2 linked regions of the Schizosaccharomyces pombe genome follow. The protein of the gene in region 1 interacts with the protein of each later gene in a biochemical or structural test. Each region holds a gene or a part of one and is shown on either strand. Other genes may lie near its edges.

Region 1 (4,582 bases):
CTATTATAGGAGATATAAAAGAAGAACCGTTCGTTCCAAATTAATTTGATCAAAGTATGGTGAATGAAACCGTCGGGGTGGAGGTTAGGAAAAATGTGGTACTACAGACAAAAAATAGAATAATTTGCCTCTCCCATAAACAGATATTCAAGATGTATTTTATCGTATGTTCTCAAATTACCTAGACGCTAACACTAATAAATAAATTTGAAAATATTATTGGTAAGGTGGTCACATGGAGGAACTAGTCAACGAAATAGGTATCTGCCCTTGAGCTTGCAGTAGACTAATTAAATTGAAGACGACTGTAATATTCAAGTTTTATCTTTATGTCATCAAGTAATTACCAAACAATGGGGAAACGAATGAAGTTGTTGAATTTCATTAGCATACACATGTTTTCGTCAACTCCAACGTTACTCTCCCTATCCCAACTATTTAAAGTACGGTGGGCAGAGAGCATTCTGTTAACTACAAATATCATTATGGAATCTATCATTGACGCTCATTGCCATCCAACTGATGCACCGCAAGAATTACATTTGGTTGCTAATCTTTCTGTTGGTAAATTAATAGTAATGGGAACCCGGCCGACAGATCAAAAGTATGTCGAACAACTTGCGAAAGAATACCCTGGTAAAGTAATACCTAGTTTTGGGATACATCCATGGTTTTCTTATTATTTGTACGATGATTTGGATAAAGATTTGCAAAGTAGTGAAACGAGAAAAAAGAAGCATTACGAAAAAATATTGACTCCAATACCTGATGAAGATTTTATCAATGCTCTTCCCAACCCAGTCCCGATTTCAGAATTTTTGGAGGACGCTCGTCGACATCTTAAACAGTACCCAAACGCTCTCATTGGCGAAATCGGCTTGGATAAGCCATTTCGATTGCCAGTTGGCCCATATGATGCAAGGTCCTCACTTCCTCAAGGACCTCTATCACCATTTTACGTAAAAATGGAACATCAATGTAAAGTGTTTGAAGCACAAGTGCGTCTTGCTGCAGAATTCCAACGTGCTGTTAGTGTTCACTGCGTTCAGACGTATGCTCTTTTGTATAGCAGTTTAGCTAAATTTTGGGATGGTCGCTGGATTCCTTCCAAAACGAAAATACGAAAGATGAAGAAAGAAGAGTACGAAAATTCTCTTGCTGAAGAACGAAAGCATTACCCTCCCAAAATTTGCCTTCATAGCTACTCTGGTAGCATTGAGCAAATTTCTCAGTTTTCAGCCCATAAAGTTCCGACCGAGTTTTACTACTCTTTTTCAATAGGTATAAATAGTCGTTATAAAAATTTTATTCAAACACTTAAAGGCGTTCCCGACGATAAGCTATTGGCAGAGAGTGATCATCACAGTGCTAGCCAAATCGATGAATTAGTTCGACAATCTTTGAACGTTATGTCAGAAGCTAAGTCCTGGACTTTTGAGGATACTATTACAAAAATTTCAAGTAACTCTAAAGCATTTTTGAAAGTAACTTGAACGCATGCACTACGGTTTATTGACAAATTAGAGTTACCTGCACAATCACCTTAAATAAGTGCATAAGAGATTACTGGCTATTCCCATTGGAATTGGTAACCTTTAGGTTCGTTTTTTATCTGTTTCGTTTACTAAATCCCGAAACTTGACTGAACTAGTGTGGAAATGCTTGCGTTTGCATACAACTTTATTTATAATGTCCTTTTTCATGAACTTTTTTCTTATATTGTCCACCTAATGTCTCTATCTTAAAAATTTCTAACACTTTGCTGAACATGTTTAGCAAAATTCTTTTGTTTATTTATTACTTAGGATAAAATATTTTTTAAAAAAATTTTTGTGATTCCCGTTACTAAAGTATTCTACTAAAACCATCTTGAATTTCCACTTTTTATGAAAGGAATATGCACGTACAGCAAATTCTTAGACTTTTTTGCTCTTTTAGTGATCGTAAGCCAAGCATTAACTGATGTATCTTAGCCATTCAAATTCGTAATACTAAGCTACTTTTTTTTCCAATTCTTGGTATGCCTATTTCACAAATTGAAATTTATACATCAGTTACACTTATAAATCTTTTAACATTGATTAAGAACCCAATTGAATACTACTATCTGAATTAACGACAACTCGGTCATTTCAGGCTATTCAAAAAGGAGGTTAGGGGCAGACCTAAGGAATTTGTTTCTTCTGTGTACAAAAGTGTTAGTGACCAACATAGAGGGGCAGTGATGTTGAAGCAAGCGGAATCTATGTTAAAATGGGCAATCGAAAAGGATAATTATACTACTTCTGAAAAAATTGGACTCAACGATTACCGTCACGTACATGAGTCACTGGGGATTGGATTCATCGCCTTAGAGGACATTAAGGTAAGCAATCCAAAACTGACAGTATATGAAATCTAACAATACTTGAAGGAAGATGAAAAATTAGTCAGTTTCAAGAAGGATAGTGTTTTGTGCTTGACAAATTCGGACTTGGCACAACTTCCCGAAGTTCAAAGTTTACCCAGTTGGGCTGCCCTTTTGTTAGTAATGGCAACTGAAAATGCAAGTCCTAACTCGTTTTGGAGACCTTACTTGTCGATCTTCCCAACCAAAGAAAGAATTACTTCACCCTTTTACTGGGATGAAAACAAAAAAGATGCCCTTCTGAGAGGTACCGTATTAGAATCCAATGAGGATTGTAATGAAATTACACAATTATGGATCGACAGAATTGAACCCATAATTAAGTTATACCCAAATCGGTTTTCACAAGTGAGCTATGAGGACTTCTTGCGAATGAGTGCTGTAATGCTTGCATATAGCTTCGACATTGAAAAAACGAAATCGCCAATTTCGAATGAAAATGAAAAGTCTGCTGCTGAAACTTCGATAAAGGAGGACAAAAATGGAGATGCTGCTAAGAAGAATGAAGGTTCGGCTAATCAAGATGACGAAAAATTGCATTCACAAAGTCTTGTGGGTAACAACTGTGAAGTAAATTCAGAAGACGAATTTTCTGATCTCGAATCTGAGGTCGACCCTGATGAACTTGAAAAGGCAATGTGTCCTATATCTGATATGTTTAATGGTGACGATGAACTTTGTAACGTAAGAACTTTCGAACCTCAATGAGTTATTAATTGAAGCCAAAGATGTATACTAACTATGCTTTAGATTCGTCTCTACGATATCAATGGAACACTTACGATGATTGCTACTCGGGATATCAAAAAAGGAGAGCAATTGTGGAATACTTATGGGGAATTAGATAATTCAGAGTTATTTAGGAAATATGGATTTACTAAGAAGAAAGGTACTCCACATGACTTTGTTTTGATTAAAAAAGAGCACTGGCTTCCTGAGTACATTGAAAAGCTTGGATTTGAAGAAGTAGAAGCACGTCTTGAATTATTATGTCGTGAAGAGTTACTTTACAATTTGGAGGGGTAAGTTATGATCAATTCAATGATGAGCTTTTTATACCTAACGTTTTCTAGTGATTTTACATTTTCAAAAGCGGATTTGACGTTCAAAGAAATTTGTTTGGCCTTTGTGTTGATGGAAAAAGAAAAGGAATTAATATCTGTTCCTTCGAAATCAGACATAAAACCAAAGCATTATAGAAAACTACTCAAGATTATTGAAAAGCGGATAAATATGTATCCGAAGATTTCAGATCCAAAGAATTTTGATGAGGAAAATGCAAAGACATTAATTGAAGGGGAAATTGATATACTTCAAAATCTCTCTGCGAAAGTCAAAGAAGCCCTGACAAAAAATCGACCCAAGAAAAAGCAAAAGGTTGATCACTGAAAAGGAAAGCTGTGATATTGATAATTTTTTTTGCTACGAATTAAGTTCTTTATTACGGAAAAATAAATAAGATTATAGAGGTAAAATTATGGATGTATAGAATTTTGGGGACTTGCTACTCATAAATAATAAAAATTTTTGACTTGTGTATTGTTGTAGGCAATTAAAATAAGGCAGTACGTTTTATTAATTAATTTTTAAAATATAAACTATTGACTAAAAAAAATATGTTTTAAGTATTTGAGCATTAAAAAAAAATCCAAAAAATTAATCGCCAAGGTATATATCACTTACTTTATATTAGACAACATATTTAGAGAATGAAAATTAAGGCATACTAATTTTTTTTTATACTTTTTTTTTTATTTCCTAGTAATATTATTGTTTTTTTGGTTTAGTATTTCGTTATGTGAATAGTAAACTTGACTATTCAGTAATACTATAAAAATAACAAATACTGATATTGTAAAATCTCACATTCTATTTATTATTAGTAACCCAACAGATTTGCACACATATGAAAAAGTAATTATTCAAAACACTAATTTACCAAGTTGAATCAACTTCTAATGTTTTGAAACGGATTTGCTTGAGGAATATGTGAGATTGTCAATGAATGTAAGTGTCAAATTACTCAATTGTCTATTTGGTTAAGTTAGTACTGCTATGTTTTTACGGGTTTTATTAAAAGCATATTAAACGCCGAATAAAAGGCAACATTCTTTATTATAGCAGATATTGTTTGTAAGCACGATAGCGAGGAGTTTTACCGCTTCCTTAACGTTT
Region 2 (3,080 bases), 580 kb from region 1:
AGACGAACATGTTGTGCCTGATAATTCTGCTAAAGCAACTGTTGCAGAAATAGACTACGGTTCACAGGTGGATACAGAGAATTTTATGTTAGAACGCAGTCCATTGGCAACTCCAAAGCCATTGAAGCAACCTGATTTTAATATATATGAGACGCCGATCGTCCGTAGTACAGCTCATGAAACAGATGATGAACAAACCCCTTCTAAATACTCCGATAACAGAGTCGAAAGTTCTAGTGATACAGTGTTTGAGAATACTGATCTTAAGTACGATAACAATGTACAGATGAGTAAAGTGACTCATCATGTAAGACACGATACGATATCCACTGATGACTATGACGCTTACGAAGATGCCGAAGATGTTGAAGAGACAAGCCTAACTTAATGTGCATAAGTTTTATTCGATTTGGCAATGATTGTATGCCAGTTTGTGTATTTTTTTTTTACTTTTTTTAACTTTAATTGTTACGAGAGAAATTACCCTGTATTACACTAGGACTGATGCAAATCTTGTGAATCAAGGATTTGCTGAATAGAGTTACAACATACCTTAATATGTACAGTTATAACAAGCAAAGGAAGCTTCGATGTTGTCCAATACCACTATTGGGATACTATTTTCACTTACAGTCTAACCAAATATGAGATAAACACAGAAAAGAAATCTTAGATATTAAAGAAAATTTGATTAACTTGTCGTTTTAAAAATCAGATATTGAACCATCGGAATCTTAAATACGACGTACGCCGTAACCGATCAAGGCAACACTTAAGCCTACTGATTTCACTAGAGAAGATATAGTTTTGACAAGGATGTAAGGGGTACCTCTGCTTTCTGTGAACATATAGTCGACTACGTCGGGCAATCCAGATGCACCAAATACATAAAGACCCACGAAAAAGGCACCTTTGAGTGTCACAGTGCCTGTAAGTTGCAACAATGCAGCGATCGAGTACGACTGAACTGCTGTACTAAGGAAATTGCTAACATAAGTTGTAGCAACCTTCTTGGTTTTACTTCCAGCGTCATATTCGACGTGAGGTGCAGTGCTCATTGCCCTTTTCCAAATATCGCCCATTAGGGGTCCATAAACGAGGAAAGAAGCAGCATGGTCGAAGGCAATCCCCAAGAGAATTGCACTAGGGCGTACATACGGCATGTGAGTGTAGGATGGCATTTCTTGTATTAATATTTAGTTTGAGTTAGAACAAGATTAATATGAATGTGAATATTTTGTAAAATAAATGTTTTGTAATTAAAGGATTTAAGGGCGCTACCACTAAATATATAGTATACTCAAGGTCCAATTATGGATTTAGGTACAGATTAATTTGGGGCGTCACTTTGACGTGTCGATGAAGTATGATAATTGGGAAATACTGCTTAGCCTGACTTGACTTGTTTTAAGTCGCTATTTCGCTATTTACATAGTGATATCTACATCATTTTCCTAAACTTTTGGTGGAGCAATATCTCATACTGTTCGGATGCTGTGCCAAGTCTTGCATAAAGAAATCAGTGAAGTCGATAAATATAAGATTTGGAGTGCAGCGATGGTAACAACTAGTGATTAAAAATAGAAATTTACTACAATAATTTTCGCATGTTTTACATTAAAAAGCCCTCACAGAAGAATCAAAGTTGGATTGAAATTCCAGCACTAAAACAATGTAGCTTAGAAATTTTGTTTGCTGGCCCACATTTGATATATTGCAAGCTTGATCTTACGCAGTAAACACTTTTAGGGTAGCTATCGGTTGTTCACACTATTGCGAACAGTGCGTTGAACGACATTACAGCAGCAAGTAAACCTAACCTAGAGGAATAAGAAACAGTCACATTTGTACAACAAGGGTTTAGCAGAGAAACTTTATGCTGTCGAGTTCCTAATCACCACCATCTAACCATCACTTATAAAAGTATCAAAAAATGGTGAACATTCCCAAGACCCGTAAGACTTACTGTCCTGGTAAGAACTGCCGCAAGCACACTGTCCACAGAGTCACCCAATACAAGAAGGGACCTGATTCCAAGCTTGCTCAGGGTAAGCGTCGTTATGACCGCAAGCAAAGTGGTTTTGGTGGTCAAACTAAGCCCGTTTTCCACAAGAAGGCTAAGGTTACCAAGAAGGTTGTCCTTCGTTTGGAATGCGTCTCTTGCAAATACAAGAATCAATTGGTTTTGAAGCGTTGCAAGCATTTCGAGCTTGGTGGTGAAAAGAAGACTAAGGTATGTCGAAGAATGCTGATAACGAGTGGATTGGATTTAGACGAATTTGTAAAAGAGTTTTTGCCGTGGTTGAATACCTCTCAAATCCAGAAAAAAAATTTTGCAAAGCGCTTTTATGAATTGTCTTTTGTTGAGTTTCATCCTTATTATCGATCATTTTCTTTATTTCATCTACTAACAATCATTTTAGGGTGCTGCTATCCAATTCTAAGTGTTTTAGCAAATACAATTTTCTTCTTTTACGGTGATCCTAAAAGCAATTCAAAGTAGTGTTTCATTTGTATTGTATAAATAATGACATGATTCCGATAGAGTAGCACACAAAGTGATGAGTTGTCATCAATTAGCAGTTCGCTAACGCTAAGGTCTGTTCTCAATATTGGAGCAATCTTTTTCGAGTGTTTCTAGTTCCATCGGTTTGAGTCAGAGCTTTTCAAGACTTGTATTACTGCTTGAGTAGAAGACAGGTGTTGTGATTTCGGAAAATAACCCATCACATTTGTCAGCATGTTAACTAAGATAAAAGTAATCAAACAAGTACAGCGTAAAATAGCGAGAGTACTAAAGCATCAAATATGCTTTCAAGTATTGCAAAAAAATTTTCTTTAAATTATCCATGCTTACGGGTCTTCTAAGGTTTAGGAGACTATGCCATTTGCCGAATTATGGATATATTAAGTAACTAATTGCTAATAGTGAGAGTGTAGTGCATCCTTGCATAACGGCACTTGGATTTCACACTGCAGGCATAATAAATAATTACTTTTTTTTGGTACTAAAGCAACGTACGTTCTTTGTTTTTCTGCGTACGACGTGTACAATTCCCTTGCAAAACTAAGGTTCGCTT

The links.
Region 2: of the proteins of set13 (region 1) and rpl42, one has a biochemical effect on the other in vitro, tested with the Schizosaccharomyces pombe proteins (one study listed by BioGRID).

What each region holds. Positions count from the first base shown.
Region 1 is NC_003424.3:3,139,239-3,143,820, forward strand, and holds set13 (ribosome L32 lysine methyltransferase Set13), read left to right. Parts: upstream 1-2,185; 5' UTR 2,186-2,224; coding exon 2,225-2,365; exon of another isoform or gene 2,366-2,413; coding exon 2,414-3,091; exon of another isoform or gene 3,092-3,157; coding exon 3,158-3,429; exon of another isoform or gene 3,430-3,480; coding exon 3,481-3,796; 3' UTR 3,797-3,945; downstream 3,946-4,582. Other genes in the region: scn3 (TatD DNase family Scn1), read left to right, coding at 486-1,493. UniProt on the Schizosaccharomyces pombe protein: S-adenosyl-L-methionine-dependent protein-lysine N-methyltransferase that monomethylates 60S ribosomal protein L42 (rpl42) at 'Lys-55'.
Region 2 is NC_003424.3:3,720,576-3,723,655, forward strand, and holds rpl42 (60S ribosomal protein eL42), read left to right. Parts: upstream 1-1,881; 5' UTR 1,882-1,933; coding exon 1,934-2,233; exon of another isoform or gene 2,234-2,423; coding exon 2,424-2,444; 3' UTR 2,445-2,499; downstream 2,500-3,080. Other genes in the region: bud6 (actin-interacting protein 3), read left to right, coding at 1-388; SPOM_SPAC15E1.02C (uncharacterized protein), read right to left, coding at 735-1,181.